Oreochromis niloticus: one gene and its partners. The protein of the gene in region 3 purifies or fractionates together with the protein of the main gene of each other region. This does not show direct contact. Links are inferred from orthologs where the notes say so. Each region holds a gene or a part of one and is shown on either strand. Other genes may lie near its edges. The genes, in order: kpna1, sumo1, slx4 and regulator of telomere elongation helicase 1.

Region 1 (7,506 bases), on a different chromosome or scaffold from region 3:
CTTCTACAGGTAAATGAGAAGAGTCAGTGATATGTTTGTTAATGACTGACAGGCCAAATAAATCAGCTAGGGTTCTATAGAGCTGGAGTGCACGTGAAAACAGAAGGTCATAGATGTATGATCAGGCACATGGGAATACACAGAAGGCCACACACCCTGCATCAGAGCAAGACTTTACTAGAAACACATGTAAACAGCTGCACTGAGTTAAGAGTTTGTGATCACCTGTTTGGTCAATTTTCGTTTCTTTCAGCTGTTTCGTTTCTTATTTGAATCACGTGATCCAACAAAAGATATCCGTAGTATACAAAGTTCTGTTCTTTAGGACATATTTTTATACATCTGTGGATTATTTAAAGACAGTGGAAGTAGGTTTACTGCACTTTTTCCATACATTTCCATTTGGAAATTAATATCCAACATTGTTTTTTTTATGGATTCTTAAGGAAAAAAACAGGCGATATAAGTCGGGACGCCACAGGCAAGTTTTTTTTTACATGATCAGCTCATGACCATGTCTTCTTTTAGAAAGATAACATCCAAAACATACATTCAGCTGTTTATTTTACTACTCTTTGTCTTTTTGCACATGCACAAATTAGTTTATAGTTATTGTGATATTCTCATTTCCACATTTGCATATTTTTTTTAAACCAATCAGAAAAGGTTTCCAGTAAATATGTATGTAATGTCATATTTAAAGGCCGTTTGTTGTGGGGGGGGGGTTTACAGTTTTTATGGAAAAGTTTGTTCACATATTATTCAAAGCCTGCAATATACTGTGTAACACTCAATGTTCAGATTTATGTTCTGGAATTGTATTCAGATAAGCTTATATTTAGAAATGTAGGCTTTATAATGCATATTTAAATGTATGTTAAAGTATTTGTCTTGATATACACCACTGTGCAAGCGTCTTGAGTGACCACTCATTTCTTAATATTTCCCTTTCATGGAGCCAGACTTTGTTGTATTTTATAAGCTTAATATATAAGTTTTTTTCTGGACATTGGCTGCTTTTTCATTCATTTTCAGTCCAGTTCTTGTACCTGAACATTTTCAAACGACTCTTTTGTTGTTTGTTAAGCCACTTAGCTTTGACATATGATTCACTTAAGCATTTTTTTGAAAGTACGTAACACAAGGGCTGAACCAGTGTTGTGTCCAAACATAACAGCAAACCCCTAAGAGGAGTGACCGCCTATTCTTCAAAGAAAACTCAAGCATGAAGGTGATCATTCTAAATTATGACTTTGACGCTCATTAGAATTGTAAAAACTCTGTTTTGACCTTAAATCCTGTATTTCCATCTATTTTGAAACTAAAACTATTGAACTTTAATTCAGTTTCTCACTTCACACAATCGTTTCATTATTGCCTTGAAGTTTTACTTTTAATTTAATTTAATTATTTTTTATGACACATGTTCTCTGGTGAGTTCAGTTACATCTGTAACTTCAGCTGGAAGAGTTGAGAGTTCAAATTTCCTATAATACCAAAAACAGACAAACTACTGATGTTTTTGTAGAATAACCTGTCTGACATGAGGGATAATATAGCATTTTCATTTTAACCAAAAGAAAGGGCTCTAAATTCGCCTTTGGCTGCATGTGTCTTTTATCTTATTCTTTTTCATTAACAATGTACTGACACTAAGGGCACATTTTTAGAAATCTCTGTAATTCCACAGAAAGGTTAGCCACTTTAGTGTTTCACTTGTGACCTATGAAATACCTCAAAATGACCTCCTACCCCCTGCACCCTTTGAACAGCCCATTAAAGCGGCAATGTAGTTGAATAATCTAGTGATATAAGATATTTCTCTCTTTAAAAGGGCCCCGTGTTTATGCACCAGTTCTGCAGAGGCGGTTTATTGCCCGATCAAAGCACGTTGCTCTTTTATGAACACCACGACTCCTGAGTTATGAAATCCCATAAACATCACTTGAATTAGTTTGAACACTGCTTTGTGATATTTTTATGTTTTATATGTTAAGAGAAAAACGTGTATGTGATGGCTGCAAACAAACCGAAAAGTTCATAATCAATAAGAGGAAAGCTTTTTTTTTTTTTTTAGATATTTTTCCCAGAATTTACATTTTTATGCTGTTGGTTTGTTTTTTAAATTACTATAAACTCGCTAATGCTGATAGAGTGACTTCACTTCATTTCACTTATTCTTTTTTGTATCATATTAAACAACAACAACACTGGAGGACTTTAAAGACTTTAATTTTTTCCAAGGTTTGAGAGCGCTCACCCCGGCTCGGGGCTCCACAGATGTGATGGATGAGGGCTCCTTGCTGCAGACTGCAGCGGAGTGTTTGACAGTCAAACATGAAACAGTTTTTGGAACTGAAACGGTCTCTGCTAACATGAACACACACCCCAAACAGTTCGGTAAATATGTACAGTTTCTCTCAGCTTCAGTTTTCAGCAGCTACCAGAACTTGGGACACCCCCAAAGCTGGCGCAGTTTTCTCCCGTTGAGCCTGCGCGTACTGGCGAGCGAGAGCGCTCCGGCTCGTGGCTCCAGATGTGATGGATGAGGGCTCCTTGCTGCAGATTGTAGCGGAGTGTTTGACAGTCAAACATGAAACAGTCTTTGGAACTGAAACGGTCTCTGCCAACATGAACACATACCCCAAACAGTTCGGTAAATATGTACAGTTTCTCGCAGTTTTCAACAGCTACCAGAACTTGGCCCCTGTCTCCATCCTCCCAGCCGCCTCCCACTTCATCTGCGGGCAGTACCTGCGTGTGTGAGCGCTGTCACCGGTGGCTTCGCAGATAGGGCAGGTGTAGTTCCGGAGGATGGGGCAGAAAACTTTCCCGTCGTCTGATTTGAGCTTGTGAGATCGGTACACCCTCGGAGTCTCCCCGTTCTGCTTGCAGAAGCGGCAGTAGTCCGAGGATGACGCGCTGCTGCTGGTGTCCGACGCGCTGCTGGTCGGACTGGACTGCGATGAGTTTTTGGAGGATTTCTTCCCCCGAGTGGAAGTGTGGACCTTACTCCAGGGGGGCGCTTGTCCCTTCTTTGGACGCTCGGTGTCTCGGTTTTCAACCTCACGGTTGCTGCACAGTCTCTCGAACACTTGGCTCAGATTCATGTAGTCCTGCCACATGTTAAAGCAGTCCCCACCGGGGAGGATCGAGCTCTGGACCTCCAGTCGTCTCGGCATTGTGGTCATTTTTTGGCAGAAGTCAAAGGGAGGGTGTGTTTGGAGCGCCTCATATTTATAGCTCACTGAAGTTGGTTTTAAAATGTAACAATGTTTGGATCCTATAGATTGCATGCAGCCTGACGACGTTTTTTGGAGGCAGAGAGAGAGAAAAAAGAACTTTGGTGCAGGTGCAGTCTTTTATGTAGCTTTCTGGTGACCTTAGGACCTCTTAAGAACCTTTACGAAGCCAGTTGACAGGCCTTTAATCGAATGATCGGTTGGTTGATTGATAACAGAAAAATGACGCATAAGCTGGACATAAAGGACTGAAAACACCAAGAGCAAAATATTGCATCGCATTCATTTTTTGTAGTTTATGTTTAGATTAGATAATTTCGCAAAATAACGCAGCAAAATAAATAATAAGAGCCGGGATGTGGAGACTATTTAGCACTGAAAACGCTACGTCCAGGTGAACAGAATCAACTTTCTGGGATTACCTTACCTGGATGATTGAATATGTATCAAGACTATTTAACAATAAGCTTACTTTAAAGGCTCGTAATAGGTGAACTGTTTTGGTATAGTTGGGTCACGCAAAGTTCATGCATTTCTTTTTTTCTGTCGCAGTGCGTTGGCCTTTATCCTCTCATCCCCTCTCGCTCTTTCTCTCACACACAAACACGCGCGCGCACACAGTGTTTAATTGTATGAAGATAGATAGATAGATAGATAGATAGATAGATAGATAGATTAAATTCAAAGTGAATTATGTGATTTAATCTGTTAAGTTCAAATCTCTCTTCTTTCCCTTAGTTTTGCATGTATTTGCGTTTTTTTTCTTTTTTCCCTTTCTTTTCTTATTTTGTCACTTGTTTACAGTTTTATTATTATTCGTACTTCTAATGTGCTCGTATCTGATGGTGCTGATGCTCGTGGGCCGTGTGTGTGTCTGAGGATGATGATGGTCCATGTTGTGTTACTTGTTGTTTGTGTGTGTGTCCCCCGATGACCCCTGGCGCCGGAGCGTCTAGACTACATTAGAGAAGTGTCGCATCCAAGAGCCGCACCTGCACTTATAGAGAGCACATACATAGAGGTGAGTGATGAGGATAAATGGATAGATGGATTTTCGAAGAGCGCACAGTTGTATTTCCTGCACAATCACACACGTAGTGAGGCTGTGTGTATGCCGGTTATACCATGAATGTAACCCTGCAGCCACCGCTTGTTTGTCAAACTGTTTATGAAGCAAACGTCGCATTTCTGTTAATTTACAAAGCAAAAAGAAGAGGGGGGGAAAAAGAGGCGTAGGAGGGGGCGGAGCTTAGATACGTGCGGGGGAGTTGTGGGTCGTTTGCGTTTAGTTGGACGCATGCGCACTAGTATACCGGCGACGGCTGTTCAAACGGTGGCCTAGCGAATAAGGGGATTACGGAGCCCAATCTGACAGGTTAGATAACGAAAAACGTTTACATTTTAGCTGTGTATGTGTGGCAGCGATTCATAATGAGAAGTTAAATGAATTCTTACTGTCTCAGACGGTGGTCTGTCGTTTGCGCTAAAGTTAATGTAATGGATTTTGGTACTAAGCTAACGTTAGCTACAGCAGTTAGCCGCTGGCTGCCAGCTAGCTTTCGATAGTAGAGGAGGCTAAGAGCGGCGTTGACATTAGCCAGCTGACCAAGTGTACCCTCCCGGGGGACTTGTGCTTTTGGGTTTTCCTTGTGCTTGTCCGAGTTGTGAGTTGACAACGGAAGTACTGGACCCCGATCAGTAGGTGGTAAAATGATGCTTTCTTTTCACGCAGCATCAAGGCACGGGAAGCTAATAGGCTAGCTGCTATCCTTACATGACCCTGTTTGTTGAACAATCTTTTTTGAGAGGAATGATGCACACCGGTAGCTATGCCAGCGTTGGCTACGTTAGTTGGTGTCTGTCTTGCTAGTCTTTGCAGTACAGTTGGTGGTGTTTAATAAAAAAAAATATGAAAAAAAAACAGGAGGGTTTGTTGTTTCTCATTTGGGAACTTTGAAAGATTTGCTCCAAAGCATATCCAAATAATAGACTTCTGACTCTTCTCAGGCTGCACAATGAGTCAGGGCAAGGACAATGCACGCCTCAAAAGCTACAAGAATAAGTCTCTCAACACAGATGAGATGAGAAGGAGGAGGGAAGAGGAAGGCCTGCAGCTCCGTAAACAGAAGAAGGATGAGCAAGTAAGCAATGTGTTATACTGTACAACTAAAACCGTCATAATGATCCTGAAATTACATACTGCCAGTGTTTGGAGTAAACTTGAGGCCATGCTTTGTTTGCAGCAATTTAGTGTTGGAAGGGAAATGCCTATTTGTACTTCTGTTGCAGCTTTTTAAGAGGAGAAATGTCGCCACTGTGGAGGATGATGGCACCCTGGACGAGGATGGGATGGCTGATAGCGGCTATCTGGAGTCCCAGGCCAACAACATGGACCCACTCATGGTGAGAAGGCATTCATATGTCTGCTCTGTCACACATACACGCCTTTCTGGTAATCAGATGGCATCTAAACATGTTGGTTTTATGTCTAAATGATTACTTGGGTCATTTTTCTGTAAAACTCATGGAGGCTGTAGAGGAGCTTTTCTGTGTCATGTTCAAAACAACACAAATTTTAATGTATGCAGTGACATTGACACATAGCAAACCACACAAATAGCATGTTGAATCTTTCGTACACAGTGCAGTGTGTTTCTCGCCTCACCAGACCACAATGTTGTATGCAAAGTTACATTTTAGCACACAAACTGTAATTTGCATAAATTCCTCTGTGATGCATTTAGTTCTAATCAGTTAGGGCACTGTCTGTAAGCATGTTAGTAACTGTAATTTGCATAAATTCCTCTGTGATGCATTTAGTTCTAATCAGTTAGGGCACTGTCTCTAAGCATGTTTAAGATAAGATAAGATAAGATAAGATAACCTTTATTAGTCCCACATGTGGGAAATTTGTTTTGTCACAGCAGGAAGTGGACAGTGCAAAAGTTATGAAGCAAAAATTAGAATAAAATAAAATAAGAATAAATACAGTACACAACTGTACAGAATAGAATAAAATAAAATACTATATACAGTAGAATAAAATAGAATAAAATATACAATAAGATAAAAATAGAATACAAATGCTATATACAACTGAGTAAAAAATACAACGATGCCAGGAAGATTATTGCACTTAGTGTTATTGCACATGTGAGGAGTGAGCTACAGCTTTCTCAGCACCACTGAGCAGACTCCCTGCTCCAAGTGGCAAAAATGAAAATGAAACATTCAAAAGTGTGGTTACCCCCCCCCCCCCCCCCCCCCCCCCCGAGTTTCGTCAACTGACAAAACTCATTGTACCAAGAAGATTCCTGATATCCAGGCATATGAGATGTCATCACTCACTGCACACATCAAGTCAGCTGTTACAGCAATTCATATGTGTTATATAAAATCCCCATTGTTGTGCCACACAGGGTGGGGTGATCTCTGAAGACATGATTCAGATGATTTTCTCCAGCTCTCCTGAGCAGCAGCTAATAGGTACTCAGCGCTTTAGGAAACTACTTTCTAAAGGTAAGTGGGGCCCTAGCTTTGCCCATTACAGCCACTCCTGTCTTTGTATTTGTTTCAGTATGTCTTACAAGGGAAAGATGATAACTGATTGAGGCCCAATGCAAGGACAAAAGCATTTTTTTGAGCTGCATAATCTGCCACTCTATCTCACAGTTTACCGCTGCCAAAGCATTCCTGCTAAAATTCATAACTACACAATATCAGAGTGGCCGGAGTGAATGTTACATGGGGTGTAATGCTGTTAAGTATGCCTGTATTAATTGTTGCCACGTCACCTCACACGCAGAACCCAACCCACCTATTGATGAAGTCATTGCCACTCCAGGGGTGGTGGAGCGCTTTGTTGAGTTCCTGAAAAGAAGAGAAAACTGCACATTGCAGGTACGTTTTCCTAGAAAACTAATATTAGATTTTATTTGAAGCTTGTAGATTTTTGTTTTTGTTTTTTCTCCCTCATGTTTGTTTGCAACGTGTTCTTCCTGTTTCACCATCATATCTGAAAGGTTGCATGTGTTGTGAGTTCAGTGCACTAACTTTCTTCATATGTTTTGAATATGATTGTAGTTTGAGGCTGCGTGGGTATTGACCAACATTGCTTCAGGTACATCTCACCAGACACGGGTGGTAATCCAGGCAGGAGCTGTGCCCATATTCATAGAGATGCTCAGCTCGGATTTTGAGGACGTACAGGAACAGGTGAGGAGGCTTCATTTTTACCTTTCCTGGTGTTCACTGACCTCTGGCA
Region 2 (7,703 bases), on a different chromosome or scaffold from region 3:
ACAAAGCAGCGCACATTCACCATTCCAGACATACTGGACTGTCCTACATATAAGGTCAATTTCAGAAATTTGCCTCATGCGTATATGGAGAAGGGCAGGGGTTACTGTGAGGGGTCACATCTCAAGGTGCATGGCAGACCATCTTTGATGGCTTTGTGGCCAGCATCTGTGACATTCAGTGGTCTTTTTTGTTTTGTTAATGCCACACAAAGCAAAACAAACATAAAAACTTCGACACTACACACTAACGGTTCACTACAAACACGCTAAATATCTCAAATCTCTCAACTTGCCGTTTTCTTTTTCAGCACCATCACTCCCACAACTTCCCCCTGTTCCTCAGCAACCAAATGCCATGTGTTACCATATAACTTTTTCAGGAAAGTCATGTTTTGTTTTGTTTTCATCTCAAGCACTTTCTGCGTGCGAGCGCTGAATATCTAAGAAAAAGCATGGCATCAATTATTTATCACAGCTCTGGTTTTATCAACTCAAAGTCTGTTTTCCCTTTCAGAAACACAACAGAGAAACAGATTTCCCTGACGTTTGTGACATACAGGTGTATATCGTAGGGCTGCAACTAAAGGACTATTTTGGTAGACAACTAATCTGCCAATTTTTCTTTGATTAGTCAGTTGATCAATGACTATTTTAATAACTCTTATCTCCACTTCCTTTGGGCAAACCTCCTGTTCTAGGCTCCAGTACTTCAGCTGCTCAAGCCTGCCCACCTGTGAATATCACCCTGCTGTCTTGTCCCACAGCAAATTAAAATAATGACCCAGGAAACATTTGTTCACATAAACAAGCTCATCTATACGTGCTCAATGCCAGTTAAACTGTTTGACTATATACATAATTAATTACTGATATGGGCAAAACCACAAATTAACTACCTAACATTAGGTGGGAGAGGTTTACTATTCACAGGGGTGCACGTAAGTGGTCCGCAGGTGCGCACTCGCTGTCAAAATAAAAGACGCGCACCAGATAAGACGTTGCAACGCGCGTTTGCGTACATATGATTTTCTGGAGGACAGACATTTGTTTAGAACTCTTAAAGATGTCGAAGAAGCAAGCTCCTTTAAGCAATTACTTTGGTGTTCCTCCACCTCCAAAGAAATGTCAGGAGTCCGAATCGCAAAAGAAGCGCGTATTCTTGGAAAAGTGGTTGAAGGAGGTGAGCTGGCTTCAAACAAATGATGAACGCACAGAGATGTGGTGCAGAATATGCTGTGAAAATCCCACTCTAGCGGACAAAAACAGTGCCTTTTATATGTACGCAAACGCGCGTTGCAACTTCTTATCTGGTGCGCGTCTTTTATTTTGACAGTGAATGTGCACCTGCGGACCACTTTTGTGCACCCCTGACTATTCAGAATAAACACTAATATTAATGTGAGAAGAAAAAAGACAAACTAGGAGACAGTGTAGCTACTCCTGTTTAAAGGTTTACTATCGCATTTCACTCATTGGCTAACAAAACATGTTTGCTTAGCTAGCATCACCCTAAGAAGTTTCCAACAGGTAAGCTAACATAAATATTAGTGTACAAACACTAACATAAACAAGGTAACAATGCGACACACTAACTTAGGTCCCTAAAACTGTCCCAGTCAAGAGTTGAGGTCACAGCTCCAGGGTGCCGGCATTTTAAATCCTCATGCACTGCAAGTGCTGTCATGTCTTTGCACAGTCTGCATTTAAATTTGTCTGTTTTCTGCGTAATGCTTCCACATTGTTTACAATAGTATATTGTCTCATTAATGCTCTGCCTAACTATAAAACTATGTTGTAACAACCCTTAAAACATGGTTGAAGATTGTTTCCCCCATCTCTCGTTTGCTTTTAAACTTTGCCTTATCACTCGTTAAACACAGCGATACCAAAAGATAATAAATAGCCAATAATAGCCGATAACCTCAATTTGCTGATAAATCAGTCAGGTTCTAAGGGTAAGTGAATAAAACAGAAAGACACCCCCCATGTATGTCAAACTTGCTTCGTAATAAAGGAACCAACTTAAAGGACCACCACCTTTGAGATATTGCAGCATCAATCAAGATAAAGCCAAATATTATATTTTTGTTAAAAGAGCCACTGAGTAGATTTATGGTTGTGGATCTGTAGTTTCAGTTTATGTACACTTTATTTACTTATTAAAGTATAAGAATCCTACGAATGCAAATATGCAAATGTTTGGTCATGGAGTGTAGCAGGATTTTGATAACAAAAAAAACTGGTTATGTCTGATAAGACAGTGTAAAGTGACAGCCTTTACTCTAACAGTCTCTCCCTCCTCCCTGGAGCTGACTCTACACTGACACTGGTACAAAAAGAAAATATAACAAAAATAACACTAAAAATATGTAAGAAAGCATCATTAATATCATCTAACACATACACACCTGACCAATCACTTTTAATTTGATGTACTCTCCATCTTTTTTATCCCCTCCGTCTTGGCTGGATGGTTTTGTCTCCTAAAAATAAACAAACAAACCGTAAATAAACAAAACACCTCCAAGCACGACACACACACTCATATATATAAATATTTATTTAATTCCAAGCCGGGCCGACACCCGAGTGTCACTGCTTTGGAAAACCATGTCACTCTGTTTTGTAACAGTTTCTGTTTCGTATTACTGCCAACAACCATTGCTCCACAGCAGAACTTTAAATAAGAAACCAGAGCTAGCCGCTAGCGGCTAAATAAGCTGTGACTTCAGGCCCGAAGCTACACGAGCTAACAGCTAGCATATTAGATAACTCGATACGAGGCAGCGGGCATAAATAAACAGCAAGCAGCCTTTTTCCGTTTTCTGCTGGTGATAAAACAACACAGAGCCTTCGGAGCGCATTTCTTACCGTATCTGACATGCTTTTTCTCTGTGTGTGCCGAGGAAAATACACTGACAATAGATGAAGCGTTAGCTCACAGGCGCAGCTCCGGGTTGATGTTATTCGACAACCGGAATTGACGCATGGGGTTGCTTCTTTCAAAAATAAGAGTCTCTCCAAAGTGAAGCACAGACATGATCGTTTAATTTTGAAAAATATAGTTGGGGTCGCTAATCTTTACTCTCAAAAGAGCTAATTTTACCCTATTTTGACTGTAAAAAAACCAAAAACAAAACAACAACAAAAAACACACTTGAGCCCTACAATAAAGCCTATTACATATAAATTACCTTGTATCAATGTTACTAATAGGTGTAAATGATTAAAATGTATTCCTATCTTCTTTATTACCAAATAAACTGAATAATTGTGGTACAAAATATCCAGTAAAATGCTCTGCAAACCACTTTGAGCCCTACTTGTGATTTTACAAATATATAAAATTTGACATAGGCTACTTTTACAAAAGAAAAAAAATAATTTTAATTTCAATTTAAACAAAAAAATTTTTTTTTTTTAAATGCCAGTTTTGATGTAATTTTGACTAAAGTACAGATGTAGATAAACCTTGCTGGAAGTGAAAGAAGCCAAATTTGTCCACATACTTAGTTACCATTTTTCTTTCTTTAACCTTATGGATCTTGAATTGTTAGCTGAGAAGACCCAAGGCTTGAGAATTCAGCGAACAGGCTGCACATTTTTACAATCATAGAATATGAAGAGTTCCTTACACTAGTGCTGAATAAAGTTCCAAAAATGAATATCCACTGATCACATTTATATAGTGTTTTGTTGTTATTTTAAAAGAAGAGGAAGCCATCGGAGATGGGTAAAAAAAGAAAAAAGAAAAAAAAAGCCATATGTAGCGCAGGTTTGTGACCCTGAAACTGTGGCCTGTTGTTATGAGGCCAGGCTATGGTTTTTCTGTCCAAGAAGGCTGACCAAGATAAAGCCAGCAAAGGTCCACATATTGGACAGCTGTATTATAACCAGTGTTGGGACTAACGCGTTATTAAGTAACGCGTTACAGTAACTACGTTATTATTGTGGTAACGAGCACGGTAACTAGTTATTATGCCAAAACCAGGAACGCGTTACTCGTTACTGGGATTTAGATAGGCTCGTTACTCGTTACTTCGTGTGGTGGCTATCGGAGCTTCCACAGATTCAATAACATTAGCAAGTGGTGGAAGCCAGCAGGTGGATGAAGGAAAAGGGAGGCAAGAGGAGAGACCCGAAGCGGCCGCCGGTCCGCGTGTCAGGTGAACTGAACTTCAGGTAAGAAGTTATGACCTGCAGTCTATCTGAGTCAGATATAAACCAAGTTTAGGTGGAGTTTATTTTCGGTATGCTGACATTTTCGTACTGCGTGCTAGCTAGCATGACGGAGTTTCTATACAGCTGTGTGGGTGCTATGTTACTGATGTTGAACTTTATTTTGTTCATACGGTTAATTATTAGAGTTTCCAACCGTCCCCTAAAAAACAGAATCGTCTGGTATTCAGAGAAAATATTACGCGTTTCGTACTGAGGTGAAAAGGAACACAGTTTGTCCCGGACTTCAGCTACAATGAAAAAGACACAAAGCTGAAGCTGCACAGCTGCCTCTTCTTCTCTCATTCTCTCCCGTTTCTACTTCAATCACGAAACTGATCAATGATCAGCTGATCGGCTTTTCTCTCTTGTTTATTTATCGCCCACTTTGCGCCAGAAAGAGGAAACCAGCGGATGTCGCGTTAAACAACAGCAGCACGTTTAAGCTTGATCAGCTGTTGTTAGAATTTATTTAATATTAATTTCTAGTATCAGCTGATGTTTGCTGGAGCCACAGCTGTAAAGCTGCTGGTCATGATATCGGTTTGGTTATCTGGTGAGAGGGAAACATGCAGATGAAACCAGGAGATGTCCTTACTGAATCATCAGAGCTGAACAGGTGATGGAGAAACAGGTTTACCTTTTAGGTGACATGAACGAGTTGAAGGGAAGTTATGAACTGTTTCTGAGAGACAAATAACACCAGGATCCTTTTCTAAGTAGCTGACAGCTGGTAACTGTGCAGGGGCGGGTCTAGCAAAGTGTTGCCAGGGGGCCAGGTAGGGCATTAACAGGGAAAGGGGGACACAAGGAAATAGTTTTCTTTATTATTCTCATTTAAAATGTCTCGCTTTTAAAAAAATAATTATCTGAGTCTTACAACAAACAATTGATAGATTGATACATATATACCATCAGAACAGTGTACATCACTGTCACAACAGTGTTTATTTTCATTCAAAGGCTTTATGATTTTTCCTATAATGGTGGGCCGGTCTCTAGTCAAAATGCCCGGGACGATTTTTTTGTCCCAGTCCAGCTCTGTATGCAGCTCATCTGCAGTCTGGTGTTACCTACATCTTCCTATTCAGAAGGCAGAATTTCCAAGTTCTGAGTACAATCAAAAGCACCACGACTGCAGTTTTTGTGTTGGATGTAAAAAGCAGGCTAGAATCATGGCGGCGGTCAACGACGGTCCAGGCGTGGGATTTCTCTCGTGGAAATGTGCACATTATTTTTTCCTTTCTATTGGTAGGTGGCACAGTGCACTTGTGGCAAGTAAGCAAGCTAGAAGACTGGCAGTCTGGCTGGGTATCCAGTTACGGAAGCAACACATTAACAAGAGAATTCTGAGTAAAACCAAAGTTACTTTCCCTAGTAACTAGTTACTCTGAAAGTAACGAGTAACTTGAAGTAACTGAGTTACTTTTGATAGAAGTAACTAGTAATGTAACTAAGTTACTAATTTAAAGTAACTTACCCAACACTGATTATAACATATCACATGAAGAACTATATAAATTTTTGTAACTTCATAAATTTGAATTTCCCCATAACAGGTTATTTTTACAACAAGTGGCTCTGTGGTGTAGTGGTCAAAAAATTTGAGAGGGTGGAGACACAAACTCAGTCTCCACTCAGTGTCCTTAGTGTACGTGCTGGTCCCAAGCCTGGATAAATGGGAGGGTTGTGTCAGTAAGGACATCTGGTGTGAACTCTGTGCCAAGGCAACAACTTTTGCACATCTATCGGCTGTGGCACACCCTTGGGAAAATAAAGGCACAGCCAAAAGTGTTGTTTCGAAAATGTTTTGATTATTCTAAATCTACAAATTGTTACAACACTGAGTGAAACCCCCCATATCAGACAGCCCCGTATGAGCAAGCACTTGGTGACAGTGGGGAGGAAGAACTGCCTTTTAATAGGAAATGAACTTCCAACACAAGCAGATTGAGGGAGGGTCGGCCATCTGCCCGACTGGTCACCAAGGCAGACTATTTTACAATATAATATATGTATAATGTAATGTTTGACCATTAGAGTGTGATATAAATCTTTGCTGATAGTAAATGCAAGTTTATGGACACGGTAAATAATTAAACCCGGTATTTATTTAAAAAGTATGGAAAAATATCTATAAAACATTTAAATGGAAAATTCCTTTATTTTAAAATGGTACATTGTACTTTTTTATGGACTCTTCCCCCTTTTCAGTGTACTTTTATAGCACAGAAAAAACTTTTTTTTTGAAAACGGACTAATAATGTGGTGAATATGCAGCACAGAGTACAGACGTTTTATGTTTTTTAAAGAACAATGTTTATATTTTTATGGAAGGAATGCTTGCAGTCTCTGTATTTGACTTTTATCAAGCTGGGTGTAACAATCCAAAGACCAAAACCATAAACCACAATCTAGATAACACTGGGTCTAAATGCAATAATAAACTTAGACAACATGAACAAAACTGACACTAAAATATAATATAGAAACTCTTAGATGGAGAAATGTATTATAATGGGGCCCTTTCCATATCATACAAGTTGTAGGCACATTGCAGAAAACATAGGGCTGTTTTTGTTTTTTAAATTTTGATAATGTCAGGATGTGACACACACACACACACACACACACACACACACACACACACACACACACACACAGACACACAGACACACACGCACACACAGACACACACACACACACACAATGACACTGTGTTTTATTGCAGGATCATTTTAAAGCTCTAAAATATGTTTGTTTTTTGTTTTTTTTATTAACAAATTCATTTTATCTGGCTAATAAGAATGAATATAAACTAGATAAACACTGGCTTATTTGGAGTTTGAGGTTTTTAAAATCAGTTTTGTCTCACCTGAGTGATATCAGAATTTCCATTTGTGCTTGGTCTAAACTGCCCCTATATATGTTTCACATTATTTTTAAGCACCCAGACAAGTTGATTAAAGAGTTTGGCTTTTAATTAAAATTAAAATTCACATTTTAAATTATAAATACAGATCAATACAATACATATTGATCAGTCCATTAGTGACATCAAGTTATTGGCCTTTTAAATGCTGGTGATGTGGATATATAACAAAATACTTTTATAATACATTAAACATTTTGTTAAATTTTATTTAAAAAAATAAACAACCTAGAGCTGTATAGGAAAGAAAAAAAAATTAAAATCATATTATGCATTTGCAAAACTAATTTAAACAGAATTAAAATATCAATTGCTTCAAATTTACTCTTTTTCAGTTTAGTCCAGTTTCAGCAACACGTCAGCCTCAGGTGTTAATTATAATAATAGCAGTAAATACCACCATTACCTGACAATACCAACAAATAGCACCCATTACATAACAAAGAAACCTCCAAACTAATACTAAAAATAATAAAAAACTAAACTAAAATGAAAGAAGCAAATCCGCAGAAGCAAAAGATTTAAATTTATATTTACTTTATTTAAATGGGAC
Region 3 (6,973 bases):
TATCTTTATTTTGTACCTTTGAGAATTGTTTTCTTTTTTTTCTTTTTTCTTTGGAAACTGTAAAATATTTTGTCTCGGAATTGGGCCAGGTTTTTGTTATCTTCACAAGCTGTCATTCCTGGCAATTGTAATCTAGTGTTGTACTATTACTGCAAGAAGATGCGTTCAGGGACAGTGACCGCTCCCATTCTTTTTGTGTGTATGAAGAGCACTCATTTGTATTAAAGTAGGAAATGGCCTGCAGCAGTTTGTGTAAACAGGCATGTATGCAGGAACACATGAAGACACTGACACAAACCCTCACAGTCACTAAAGCCGCGTTTCCACCACAGGAACTTTTACCAGGGACTAGGGACCATACTTTCAGTTACGTTTGGGGTAATTATTTAACCCCCACCAAAAAAAAAGTCCCTGGGTTTGAAGCGCTGAACATTTCTGATTGGAGTACCCGTCTTTACCACCAACTCCAGGGTGTGAAAGCAGTCATCTCTTTTTGATATGTCAGCGGATTTTTTTTTCTTTTTTTTTTTTCGTTTTGCTTAATGTTCACGGGCCTTTAAACTTTATTTCCTTGGAAACAAAAATTTCTGTGACTACGACTTCCGGGTACTTTTGGGTGGATACGCGGCTTAAGAGAAATACAGCTGATTGGTTCACCAATAAGGACTGCAGCCTACAACTCAGTGGCCTGGAATTTGGAAACGTTGTCTTGCAGGTGTAGAAAGTTGTTGCTTTGACATTAAAAAGAATTTGTCATACTTTTTTGTCATACAAATGTTGTAAAGTGTAAAGAGAGTGCGAGAAAGAGACCAGCCCCCTAAGCTGAGGTGGAATGATCAGTGGTTGTTTGTAGGCAATGTCTCGGATGATGCCCAGTTCTCCAAATTTTACACTAAGTTGTGTGCTATCAGGGGATGAAGGGCACATTTGAGATTCACCTGGAGGAGAACTAAATGTCATCAACCCTCATTCCTCTCACAAAAAAAACTTGAATTGGGGGGATTTACTTTTTCTCCTATTGTAAATCAAGTTATTAAACAAAATACTATAGATATAAGGAAGAGCGAATGAAATCACTGTATAAACTGGTAAAAGACTCATTTCTTACTTATATACCATATTGTTAAATAAACTGTGTGCAACAGAAGAACTCCAGTACTCTGTTGACTAAATAATGAGGCATCACTTCCTCCTGTTGGTGTGTATTCATTTGTTTCCGGTGTTACATTACCAGCAACAACTGTTTGGTTTTCATGTCACCTAAAATTTATTTCAACTTTAGTCTTCATCCTGAACTTTTAAAAAGATGGAGTTGAATTGTTCTGTTTAGTAAAATGATATTTATCGATGCAGCACTTTACAAAAAGTGACAGATGCCTTTTTTCCACCCATGTGAGTCTGGTGCCTGAACTAGAACCGGTTTCATGCATTTCCACCAAAGCCAGACTGTCAGCAAAAATTGGCACTTTTATTATTAGCAGGAATGTAAGACCCCCTTCTTTCAATCAAAGTGCAAAGCATTAATAAGTAACCTGCTAGGCTCTACAAAAAGTCTAGTGAGAACCAGTGTGATTACAGAAAATACTAATTTTAACCACTATGTCAGGTAAACATTTGCTAATTTTTTGGTGTTCTAGATTGAACAAGTTGCTGGAAACATTCCTCAGAGACATTTGGTACATGACGGCATTGTGCAGCACCTTCACAATGCTCTGTGAAACCTGTGAAGTACATTTTAGCGCACTGAAGTAACTGTCATTTAGAAGAAAATAGTCTCAAATAATAAGAGCTTTATGATGTCCATTAACCTGCTGAAATAGCCATTGGTCATAAAGACATGGACATAACAAACAGTAGTTCAGGTTGGCTGTACCATGTAAATGATGTGTGATTGGTGCTAAGCAGTCCAATAAGACATCCACCATCAGCATCAGGAGTTGTTACAATGTAGCATAGACTGTACATAAAAGGTAGATGCAGAAACTGAATTTATCCATTTGTTTGTGAATCCTTAAGGTTTGTGTTTTGGCTGCCACCTTTTGTTTTTTTGCAAACAGAAGTGGTGGAATGGTGGATTGCAGGTGGGTGCAAATTAACGCCCTAAAAGGCTAGTGCAGCTAAGTGGCTCAAAGTAATCATTAGTGGAGGAGGCAAATTTAACGGATATAGCTGTGTGTGGTTACACCCAGAACTTTAGACGTTAATAAACTTTAAGAAAAGTAAGTTATTAAAAAAACAGTCCTTATGAAGGAGTGTAGAAATCTGTAGAGTGCTGTTTTGATATAGGAGTTTAGGGGAACTGGCTCACTATTGCAGTGTAGATAGCCTCGTGGCCGGTGAAGGAACTACAATTTTTGGCACTTCACGTTTGGGTTAATTTTTCAGTCCCAGATGTGACTTTACAATCTGAATGTGGCAGCATCAAGGCTCATCAGAGCAGGTAATGATTTAGCAGTTGTCTGTGTTTCTGCCAGTGCAGCATAATCACATCCACACAGCAGCACAAATGTGAGTTCTGGTTCTTTCACTTAAAAAATAGCTTGTTTGGCACTCCATACAAATGTTTCTGATCTTCTGGAGATCATCTTGATTGCACAAGTCTTGCACTGAGTCTCTGCCATTTGAATGGCTATGGGAAATGTGCTGTGATGCCCAGTTGGTGAAGTCACACTCATGCAGCAGCCAGTTAGAATCTGAAATGTTAATTTCCAAAATATAAAAATTGCATTAAGAAGTGAAAGTGTAATGAAATTTTCAGTCGGGTAACATCATTTAGTCCCTGTCTCAAATTCAAGTCATGAGGTTTGGAAAGGTCTTTTAAGTGTGTATTACTGGAGTCTTTTTCTTTAAAAAGTCTATGATGTCTGAGTCGGTGTCTGTCCCTCTGTGTAAACTCCAGGCACAGAAATACACTTGGACACAAAGAAGTAAACTGTAAACTCCTCTGTGTATAGTAAAGATGTTTCTGAATTTGCTTGCTTCCTACATGCCTTCACATTCTAACAGTATTCATCAAATCTTAAAAAGCCTATCCACTCACCAGTCACTTTATAAGTCATACCTTGCTAGTACCTGGTTAGACCCCTGTGCCTTCAGAACTACCTTAATGCAAAGATTCCTCTGAGATTTAGGTCCATATTTTGATGACAGCGTCGCGCAGTGGCTGCAGATTTATCGGTTGCACATCCACAATGTGAATTTCTTGTTCCACCACATCCCAAAACTCTGGTGACTGTGGAGGCTATTTGAGTACAGAGAACTTACCCATCCGAAATGGATAAAATCTTTACACTGTGGTCATAAAGTGATGGACATGATCAGCAACAATGCTCAGGTAGGCTTTGTGGTCTTCTCCTTTAGGTAATCTGCTTCAAGGTGTCATGCGTGCGGAGATGCACTTCTGGATACCTCGGCTGCAACAGCTGTTTGAGTCATTGTTGCCCTTCTATCAGCTGGAATAGTCTGGCGTTCCTCCGCTGACATCAACAAGTTCCAGAGAACTACCACTAACTGGATATTTTCTCTTTCTTGGCCCATTCTCTATAAACCATAGAGATGGTTGTTTTGGAAAATCTCAGTAGCTCCGCAGTTTCTACATACTCAGACCAGTCCGTCTGGCGCTAACAATCATGCCGCATGCAAAGTCACTTAAAATGACCTTTCTTTCCCATTGCGGTGGTATGGTTTGAACTTAAGGTCATCTTGACCATGTTAACATGTGTAAATTCATTGAGTTGCTGCAGTGTGGTTGCTTTAAGGAACATGTTGATCAAGCCTGGGTCTTAAACTGGTTTAAAAAAAAATCATTATTTAGTTTAAAACGATTAATAAAGTGTTGGAAATCTTTAATAAAGCGTTTATAAATGATTATATTAAACTGTTATTTACAGATTTCGCCCAAAGCCGCTCGCCTTAGTCACATGACCTCGACAACACCCAGTTATTCGTTCATTTCACCGTCACATGGCCGGAAGTTTTAAATGAAGCGGTTTGGGGAGTAGCTTTGAAATGAAAACAAGTGCTGTTTGCTCTCTTCCAGGCTTTTTAGTTAACAAAAACCTCTATAGCGCCACATATAGTTTTAAATGAATGAGAATAAACTCTTCGGCGGCCCCTGTAAACGATGAGGCAGAAAATTAAACAGTTAATTCATCAAATATGGGTAAGTATAGAGGTGCTAGCATAAGTGGCTAGCTGTTTCACTCCATACCTTTTGTGGCATGATTTGTCAAACATCTGTGCCACATATAACTATTTCCATTTGTCTCAGTGTGCATGTAATTATAGCATCGCTGTTTTTATTTGAATACAGAATTACCCGCGCAAAATTTACTTACATGCAAATTAAACTTTTTCCCTCCATCGTTTCACATCAGTGGATCCAGCTTAAACTAGTTGTCTTTTTTGCAGGGTGATCGTAAAAGCCTCTTATTGCGAAGAAAAATACAGTATAATGGATGACTCGGACCAGGATTTTGAAGATTTCAGCCCGAAGCGTCTAAGACGAGTCCGCAAGAAACCAGGTGAAGCCAGACAGGCGAGGAAAGCAGAGAGGCAGACCTCCAGTCAAGCGAGCGAAGAGGATAAGAGAAGGAGAAATAACAAAAAAGCTGTTAACTCTATCAAAAGGCTATCTTGGACCCAGCCTGCTGCTGCTGCTGGTGATGGTGCTGGCGATGATGGTGGAGGAGAAAAGCGTGTGGTCAATGGAGAGGTTGGACATCAGTCAGGGGATGCTCGGCCATCAGCTGAGCCTTTAAAGGAAGCAGGGCCAAGTCCTCAAAGCGGCCTAAGAGCGAAAGACAAAGTGCTCCTGAGGATGAAGCAGTTCAAGAGAGATAGTCCACAGAAGATGGTGCACAAAACCCACATCCAACCAGCAAACCACGAGAGCAACTGTACTCCTTTTACACTGCAAAAAAATCAGGGTGAGATGACATGATCCTCTCCAGTCTACTGCATCCCTTACTTTGATGTGCTCTCTTTTCCTGCTCAGTTTTGTTTTTTCATTAGTTATATTTCTGTTGTGTTTGTGTTCAGTTTAGGTTCAGGCAGTTTAGAGTGGGTTAGTTTTTAATGTAGTTAAAACTAATGTAGTAGTTTTAAATGTTTAGCTTTGGTTTTTATTAGATTCAGTTTTCATTTGTTATCTAATGGGAAGAATTAACAGACAACAATAATAAAAATCCAGCCAAGGAGACATCTCTCTGCTCTCTGGATTAACAGATGCACAAGAGTCTGATCAAACTGGCTGCAATAACAAATTTGATCAAACTGACAAAATCTAAAGACATTTGCTTTACATTCTTATTTTATTTTTACTTAGTCTAGATTTTGTTTTTATATTACATAATTAAAAGGTTATTTTCACACCAAGTTATAGCTTTTAGTTCAGTTTTACTTAACTATAATAAGCATACAACTACTTTCTTATGCTTATCCAATTCAGGTTTGTGGGGTTGAAGCTGTTTCCATCTGTTATAGGGTGAGAGACAGGGTACACCGTGAACAGTAGAGGTAGTAATGGTGAATGAATTTAAATACCTGAGTTCAGCCATTGAAAGCAATGAGCAGTGCACAAAAGAGGTGAAGAAGACAGAGTTGACAGGGTGGAGTGTTTGAAAGTGAGTGTCCGGGGTGATTTATGACACAAGGATAGTATTAATGTGCCTGACAGTCTAAACAGGGCAAAAGCAACAACAATATGAAGACAATGGTAGACCTTATAAACACTGTAATATTTTGTGTAGGGTTTTCTGTGTCTGTATTGATCCAAGACATACTTTTTTCCGAATTTTACACTTTAAATTTGAGTCATGATATTTCAGTATAGGCCATATAGAATTTACCTTCATAAACTGTAGACATTTGACAAACTACTATCAACCTGTTACCCAGGGACTGGGTTCTATCGCTGAAAAATAGGAAATGTGGCCCATACCTTTTCCTTAATTTGAAATCCTGTTTTCTGAAATGTTGCTGTGTTATTCTTGCTATCCCTCACTTTAACCCGTATATTTCTCTGTCTCCGGTCTGTTCGCAGATACTCCAGATACCTTCAGCTCTGCTCTTCCTCCAGAGCCTCAAGACAACGATGAGGCTCTTGCTCTGCAGCTGCAGCAGGAGCTGGACAGAGAGGCAGCGCAGGCCCAGATTGTGGACTTGGAGGATGGAGGGCTTTTCTTCTGTCAGATTTGCCACAGAGACTTAACACACATGACAGCAGAGGGTCGCACACAGCATCTTAACAGGTCTGAGGATTTTGATTGCATTTTAGACGATAGCTTTAAATACTAGTGGGCACACAGGGAGGCTTAATGACATTAAAAAGTCTGTCTTCACTGTTAAAGCACTGTAAGAGACTGTTTATTGGACAAGTAACCTCCATGTGGAGTTCAAGGATTCCACTCAGTGAGTGCACCAAGTTGCATTTAAATGATTTGTCGGAAAATAAAACAATAACTTTTCTAATTTTCAGGTCATAGCTTCATAAAGTATAATGACAAACATCTGATTAAAATAATGAAATCCTGAGGTTATAAGAGTTTTCCACAAATAAAGTCCACAAATAAAAAAATCATCCTCAGTTTTTGTGTTTTAGAAAATGCTTGATTTTTTTTTTTTGCAAATACATGAACTTTTACCTAAAGTGTCTCTCTGAATTATCAAAATATATATATTTTTTCATTTTTGTCAAAAATCTCTCTGTACAGGTGTTTGGATGAGAGTGAAAAGAGTGGCCCTGCGGCTCCTCCACCTCCTCCTCCACCACCTTCTGGTGTTCCTGATTGTCCCATCTGTGGTAAGAAGTTCAAGTCCCAGAAGAGCCGCTCGGTCCACTTGAAGCGCTGTTCTTCAGATATGGACGTCTCCCCAGCTGTGCTGATACAGGCTCTGCAGAGACAAGCTGAGGAAACCCAGAGTGCTGCCACTGCTAATTTACTGTAAGTCAGACGATAACTTTGTTGCATAA
Region 4 (6,875 bases), on a different chromosome or scaffold from region 3:
CATGAAAAGACGGATTTTAAAATCAGTTCTCAATTTTACATGGGGGCTATTGTAAGGACAGGCCCATGATGTGAAGGCTCGTTTCATATCTTTTTTTCCCCATCAAGTATTAAAACAGATCTGGACTGTAACCAAGTCAGTTTATCACCGATCTCTTTTACTATGGAGGCATGCTGAAAATCAGTGCCTGTTTACATGAAACAACACACTCTGGAACACATTATCGTGTGTGCTGCCTTTTGGTGCCACTGTCAAAAAGTCAGGTTCCTTTTTTGTCAGGGCTAGGTCAGGTGATCCTGAATCCATCCTTAGTTATGCTTAGGCTGCTGGGAACTTCCCATGATGCACTGCGCGTTTCGGCGTCTCTCACCCCTTCTCACTCACTGTGAAGAGTGGTGTTCAGCACTCTGCCTTAGATTATGAATAATTATTAATCTCTGTCTCTCTTCCACAGCATGTCTTTATCCTGTCTTCCTTCTCTCACCCCAACCAATCGCAGCAGATGGCCCCGCCCCTCCCTGAGCCTGGTTCTGCCGGAGGTTTCTTCCTGTTAAAAGGGAGTTTTTCCTTCCCACTGTCGCCAAAGTGCTTGCTCATAGGGGGTCATATGATTGTTGGGATTCTCTCTGTTGTATTATTGTAGGGTCTACCTTACAATATAAAGCGCCTTGAGGCGACTGTTGTTGTGATTTGGTGCTGTATAAATAAAACTGAACTTGAATTAAAAACCAATATGAATGTACAATCATTTCTTCAACCCAGCTGTAACTGTAGCGACACAATGGAAGAGGTTACAAAAATCCAGTGGTGCACACATCGCCACAACATCGGCATTACATAGGAATGTATTCGATAAATCACACTTCATCCAGTATAGCACAGCGACATATTGCCGACGTCATTTACCTCCATTTCACCAACACTTTTTCCCTCTCTGGCCAATCCTCCTGGGGATTTAGTGTGTCTTGAAAATAGAGCATGAATTTTGAATGAAGCTAGCAGTTTGAAAATAGAAGACACAGAAGATGAACAGTCATTTACATAAAATAAAGTGAATTTTCATATCACATTAACATGTTTGTCTGAAAACTATTGAGAGTTTACTAACACTAGTTAATGATTATGTCCTGTTGCGGATGGCACCCTGTTAGTAAGCTTTGCTTAGCTGCTATGTTGGGCAGATAACACATTTCATGCCAGCGTTCCTCAACCATAAAAGTCAAAGTACATTAAAATAAATTATTTTCCAGCATTTTGTTTTTTACCACAGAGTAACTCCATTAACACATTCACCTGGAAGAAACCTCTTTAGTTGAATGTTGCGGACTCTGATTACAATTAGTTCCCTTAATGGTTGCAATCTTAGGAGTAAAATTCATATCAAAATACACACACCTGAAGATGATGAATACTCTTCTACAAGAAGAAGATGGAAAGTCTTGCCGTTTAAAATTCATTCATTTTGTGTATTTGTACAGTCCTGAAAGATATCTGTGCATTCAGCTGCACTCGATTACTCCAACTGAAGATTACAATTTCATGTAGTAACTTATCCCCCCCTTCCCTTAAAGTGCTTTGTTCCTTTATTCATTCTGCTGTGGGCTAAGAAATATTTATTTCATTCAAAATTTGAAAATGTGGCAAATTTATAACAGAACAATAATAGATTCTGCATACAGCTGGCTCTTTTTCCCTTTTCTTTTTAAATGTGCTGCATCAGAATTCCCTTCAGTCACAGTCTTGCTGTGAAATATTAGTGCATGAATGTATGTTTGAAAATAAATCAACATGCAAAACCATTACTTTCTCCTTTATTAAGGATATGTCGTCTTTCTGTCATCTTCAGTGCGTTTGAGGTTTCAAAAGAGGTTATACATGTGCCTGGATCACTTTTCATTCCTGAGCAGATGTTTGCAGTAGCCTACACTGAATTTTAGAAAGGAACTAAGTATCTAAGTGCTTTTTTTTTTTTTTTTTTGCTTAATTCATAATGCTATGTATGAGCTGAGGTATATTGTGTGTTATAAAAGCTATCGCCAGTAGTGGGCACCACGCCATGTTATGTGTGTGTGTGTGTGTGTAACTTCTTCAGGTATATGATAACAAAGAGAAGAAGACGGAATGTAAACAGCTAACGTGTGTATCTGTCTGACTCTTTATAACTCCTGCTTAGTGTACCGACACAACAGGGGGAAACATGACACATAATATTCTATTATGGTAGAATATAGGAATGCTCGCTGTATTTTAAAGCACACATTACACCACGACTTGAGTGAGAAGATCAGCCTGTATGAATATGGCACAGAGAGCAGTAGGAAGTCGCTAAAGCAGTGCTAAGATACGTAGATGCCACGGCCACCTGAAACGCAGGCAAAGCAGCACTAAGCGACCTGTTCCCAAAGATGAAACAGCGCCTATCCCGACAGACACAGCAGATATACGTCGGCAATACGTCGTTGTGCTTTCTGGGAAGCGACGTTTTGCGCGAGCAGATGCGAGATCACTTCTGTCATGCGGCAAACGGTGAGCATGGTGGCCGTATAGCCGTGGCTGTTCAGTACTGCCCCTTTGCAGTTTGTTTCCATTAACACACATACACATGACAGTCGATTCTTACCTTCTGAAGACATTCGATTACTTTGTTCATGTATGCCTTCTGACATTCGTACGGAGAAAAAGGGAAATTTACAGTCACTCCGCTGAGAGTCAGTGAAGGCATTCTGTCCTCTGGCGTCAGTCGGCAGCAGCATAGACGAAAATCGTTGTTGTTGTTGTTTAAAATCCAGAGAGGTACTTCTTCTGTTTGACCAGTTTAAATGGCTGAACTGTGGTATAATGTACTTTTATCATTGGCTCGTTTAGGCTTAGTAGAAAGGAGTTCTCAATCCCAACTATAGTTGTTTCGCGCCAGCTTTCACTTAACTTGCTCATGCGCACTGTGACGCTGACGACTGGTGCGTTCAAAGGGTCACGGAATCCTGAACACTCCAACATCAACCTTTTATCTAATTTTCTAACCACTTTTCTCGTCTTCGATGGAAAAAGTGAGCAGGTCAGTAAGGGCAAATGGGTAGGATAACTCATAAGGAGAAAAGCGGCGCACTGAGAATCGCAACGACTTTTTACAATCTCCAAAGTATTGATGTCTGCCACGCTGAAACTACGACGTGCAGAAGATGGACTACAAAACGCGCGTCGATGCCGGTGTTGTACCTACAAATGCCGCAAATGACTTGGAATTGTAGCGAGGCTTTGAAACAATCTGAAACCCATCTCCACAGTGACATCTACTGGCCAATTTGGCTATTACTACATCTTGAAAATACCTTTCTGTGTAACAACGACGCAGACATGCCCTGCACAATTCCAAACAAAGCCACTTACTAATTACTACTCAGACTGTCAGTAATTGTGATCAGCAGATGTTTTCATACAAACAAGAGAAGAAAAATAATGAGACTGTTAAAGACACATCTGTGACTATAGTGATCGGTGTGCTTCAGCAAATTTCTCCATCTGTTAACATTCGCGCTGCTTTATAAAGCATACAGAGAAAAGACTGCGGTGTTCACTGTAACGACCACACTGATTTACAGCTGATTTTGCTCACAGCCCTGAAACTTTGAATGTGTTTGTTTGACTTTTAAGTTTTCTAGGAGTTCGTGTCATCAGGTTTGTTTTACACACTGTCAAGCAAAGCTAGAAGCTGGCATAGCGTTTGGTTTGATTTTAATTAATTTAAAAATATACATTTAAATGAAAAGAATGCACGTTTTTTTCCTTCTTTATAAAAAAAGTTAACATTTTCATGGGATAATTCTGACCAATAGTGAACCTGCATAAGAAAAAGAAAAAGAAAAACACATCTGTCATGAAAATTGTTAAGAAATAGATCGCCTGTAATTAATTAATATGTTTTATTGGCTCTTTTTATAGTATAAACATATTCTTTATGGGGACGCATATGTAACTGATTGTAGTGAGGATGAAGTCACTTAATGCTGCAAATGACATTTTCTGTTGAAAGCAGACAAAACTAAAGAACAGTTTTGATTTTCTCCTTAAAGCAGGTGTGTTGTTGTTATTGAGATGTTTTAATAATTTTACAGCACAGTGTGCCGCTCTCGCTCTCTCTGCTGATAGGAGTGAATGGAGCTCACCCACCAGCCTCTGTCTCTCACTTTCTCTCAAGTAATCATTAAAATAAGCTATTTATGAATTATTTATAGATCTATATAATGTTTATTTGACTATCCTTTGGATTCCAGTGTTTAAGAGATTGGATAGTCTAGTCTACACAATCCACAGCAAAATAATAATGACAGAGAGGGTATTATTTTCTTTTACACATGCGGGTATAGTAAATTGAAGCAGTAGTATCAAAAGCAGTAATTACAAGCCCCAGTCCAAAAGACTGGTTAATAGAAAATGCGCCTGGCAATGCCTGGAAGCAGCCCATACAGATCCCCATTTATTTTTCCTCCTCAATAATTCTTGTATTTTTTATGAAACTGAGCATAAATTAACTTACCGTAAGTGTATTTATTTGAAAGGTAGTATGCTGACGGTACGCTCTACCAGCCCTGGCTTCATAGCGTCTGCTTTTATTGTGACTTGTTTTAAATTGCATGCCCTCTTGCTTGTCTTTTTGATGCTCACATCTCCTTCTTCACCTTTCTGCTCTTTTGGTGTCTCACCAATCTGCTGAACTCTTCATCTTCTCTCATCTCAAAAAAACCACAAAAAAACAAAACAAAAACTTGACCACCATATTTTTATTACCTTAATTTCAGACTCCGCTTTTAACTAACAGACTGATGAAATTCACTATGATAATTTACTAATCAAAAACAAACCATAATACCAACGGCTCTATGATGTGTGAGAGACGGCTACTTTGTGTAAAGGTTTACCCGTGCTGTCAAATGTATTTATCCAAAGCATGCATTACACACTCAGTACTTACATTTAAATAAAACATGGGAGTGTTATACACAATGGGGGAATTTAGGTCCACGTTAAAGGAGCGAGAGAATCGCTCTTTTGCAACCATTTTGAATGTTTGCTATTACATATGATTCACTTGTCTGTACTGAATATTGTTATGTTATACTATGTTGTGACTTCTGCTAGTGTTTATGGAAAATACAAAGGCTTCACATTGTTAGTTCACTCTGCATGTCTGTGGAGTGAACAAACTGTATAAAGTGCAGGTTGTGAAAGTGTAGCTGTAAGTTCTAGTCTATTTCATGAATACAGTCAACAGGTAGTAGCGTACACGCAGGATAAAATGACAACATAACTTGGAAACTGATGTAAAATTTATCCTTTTTGATCTAAAACTTTTTTTAAGTTATTTGAGTTTTATTTCAGGTCTTTTATTAAAATTAGTATATGTTAACAGTACTTTGTCCCAACAGTAACTATGACTTGTGTAATATGTGTAGTAGTGTGATTACTCTAATCATAGTGTCTTTTAGGATGAGTGGTTTGTTTGTAAAAATGTTTCAGAGTAGTTATTATATTCCCTCATTGTCTTTCATTTCTAGAATTATATCAGGCTAGGAGCTTTATATAAGTCACGTAACTTAGAAGTACACCAAATGACTACACAGTTATTATGGTTAAATAAGTAGGAAAGCATGTTACATAGTGATTTGTAAGGTCTGAAGTTACAGTGTATTTTTTAAATAGAAGAGGCTGACAGTTGACATATTCTATGTTTTTATTGGCTCGGATTGGTAGGATAGGATTGTCTCCTACTGTAAGATTTTTGTCACCATCTTACAATACTTACAGTACATTACAAACCCATTACAAAAACACAGGTACACGACTGGCCGACATCTAAATCGACATCCGCTCATAAGCAAGGCTTTGAGGAAAATGCCACTGCAAGTTATCACTGTCCACAAAAAATAACAACAAAATTCAACACATACGTATTTTATTTTTATCAGTGAAATACAATAATCAGGTATTACAGTGAGTGGACAGTGGACATGTTACTGTCCTCCAGCTGTGGGAAGAATGATTTTGTTTGTGTCATAGTAGTTCTCCTCTATGAGAGGGACACCATCGGCCTCGCGCTGCTGAATCAAACGTTCGGCCTCTCTTCTGGCCCACTGCCGCATGCTGGAACACAAAAATGCACCAGTAAGAAAACCAGAATGAAACCTATAATTAAACAATAATTAACTCAAGTTTACGTGTAAACATTTCATTATTCCACTTAGACCTTCATGAATTCCAGAAAGAATATGAAATTGTGATTGTTTAGTCAACAGGACAACTTTCTACTCCATCCATGTTAAATCAGACTCAGAGTTGAAGGGTACATTTTTGGATCTTTTCTTTGCATGGTTTAAGTGAAGTTGTTAAGTTGCACCAGGCCCGTCTTGCATCCTGCCCCACCAACCTATCCAGCTCACCACCACAGTCATCAACTAGGAGCTCACCCTCTCTCTTCACGTGAGAGTCTAGAACATAAGCCGCACATTAACTTACAAACGCTGCTGTCTGCAAGCCTCATGTTATACTTTAAATCCTCTATATAAGGCAATTCTAAAGAGTTTTGCAAATACTTTCATTGTATTTACATTTTAAAAATATTCCAACTGTAAAATTTAAGTTTCTTAATCTCAAGTCACTGTTTAAAAAAAATAAAGTGTTATTAACTTGATATTCAGTTAGCGTCTGCTGTGCTCCTAAGTATTGCTTATTAATATATTGATAAGCAGCAGCTACAGTCCTGTGACAAAGTCCAGTGTCACAGGACTTTGTCAAGTTTAGACAAGACAAAAACACAGATGATCTAAGCAGTTGTATTTTTAACAAAAATAAAATAAAATACATGAGAACAAAATACTGAA

What was found.
Region 1: the proteins of slx4 (region 3) and kpna1 purify together in Homo sapiens (co-immunoprecipitation; 3 studies listed by BioGRID and IntAct, with this or other methods). This does not show direct contact. The link is inferred for Oreochromis niloticus from reciprocal best matches to the Homo sapiens genes SLX4 and KPNA1.
Region 2: the proteins of slx4 (region 3) and sumo1 purify together in Homo sapiens (affinity purification with mass spectrometry; 3 studies listed by BioGRID, with this or other methods). This does not show direct contact. The link is inferred for Oreochromis niloticus from reciprocal best matches to the Homo sapiens genes SLX4 and SUMO1.
Region 4: the proteins of slx4 (region 3) and regulator of telomere elongation helicase 1 purify together in Homo sapiens (affinity purification with mass spectrometry; 3 studies listed by BioGRID, with this or other methods). This does not show direct contact. The link is inferred for Oreochromis niloticus from reciprocal best matches to the Homo sapiens genes SLX4 and RTEL1.

Annotation. Positions count from the first base shown.
Region 1 is NC_031974.2:18,422,904-18,430,409, forward strand, and holds the start of kpna1 (importin subunit alpha-5), read left to right. Parts: upstream 1-4,501; 5' UTR 4,502-4,617; intron 4,618-5,249; 5' UTR 5,250-5,257; coding exon 5,258-5,383; intron 5,384-5,531; coding exon 5,532-5,645; intron 5,646-6,661; coding exon 6,662-6,761; intron 6,762-7,047; coding exon 7,048-7,142; intron 7,143-7,325; coding exon 7,326-7,457; intron 7,458-7,506. Other genes in the region: nanos2 (nanos homolog 1), read right to left, coding at 2,691-3,296. UniProt on the Homo sapiens protein: Functions in nuclear protein import as an adapter protein for nuclear receptor KPNB1. Binds specifically and directly to substrates containing either a simple or bipartite NLS motif.
Region 2 is NC_031986.2:20,155,662-20,163,364, forward strand, and holds the start of sumo1 (small ubiquitin-related modifier 1), read right to left. Parts: upstream 3,019-7,703; 5' UTR 2,884-3,018; coding exon 2,872-2,883; intron 2,484-2,871; coding exon 2,409-2,483; intron 1-2,408. UniProt on the Homo sapiens protein: Ubiquitin-like protein that can be covalently attached to proteins as a monomer or a lysine-linked polymer.
Region 3 is NC_031971.2:30,579,012-30,585,984, reverse strand, and holds the start of slx4 (structure-specific endonuclease subunit SLX4), read left to right. Parts: upstream 1-3,957; 5' UTR 3,958-4,162; intron 4,163-4,410; 5' UTR 4,411-4,453; coding exon 4,454-4,928; intron 4,929-6,043; coding exon 6,044-6,251; intron 6,252-6,713; coding exon 6,714-6,944; intron 6,945-6,973. UniProt on the Homo sapiens protein: Regulatory subunit that interacts with and increases the activity of different structure-specific endonucleases.
Region 4 is NC_031984.2:36,164,427-36,171,301, forward strand, and holds the start of regulator of telomere elongation helicase 1, read right to left. Parts: upstream 3,007-6,875; 5' UTR 2,723-3,006; coding exon 2,621-2,722; intron 1-2,620. Other genes in the region: ndufb11 (NADH dehydrogenase [ubiquinone] 1 beta subcomplex subunit 11, mitochondrial), read right to left, coding at 6,009-6,138. UniProt on the Homo sapiens protein: A probable ATP-dependent DNA helicase implicated in telomere-length regulation, DNA repair and the maintenance of genomic stability. Acts as an anti-recombinase to counteract toxic recombination and limit crossover during meiosis.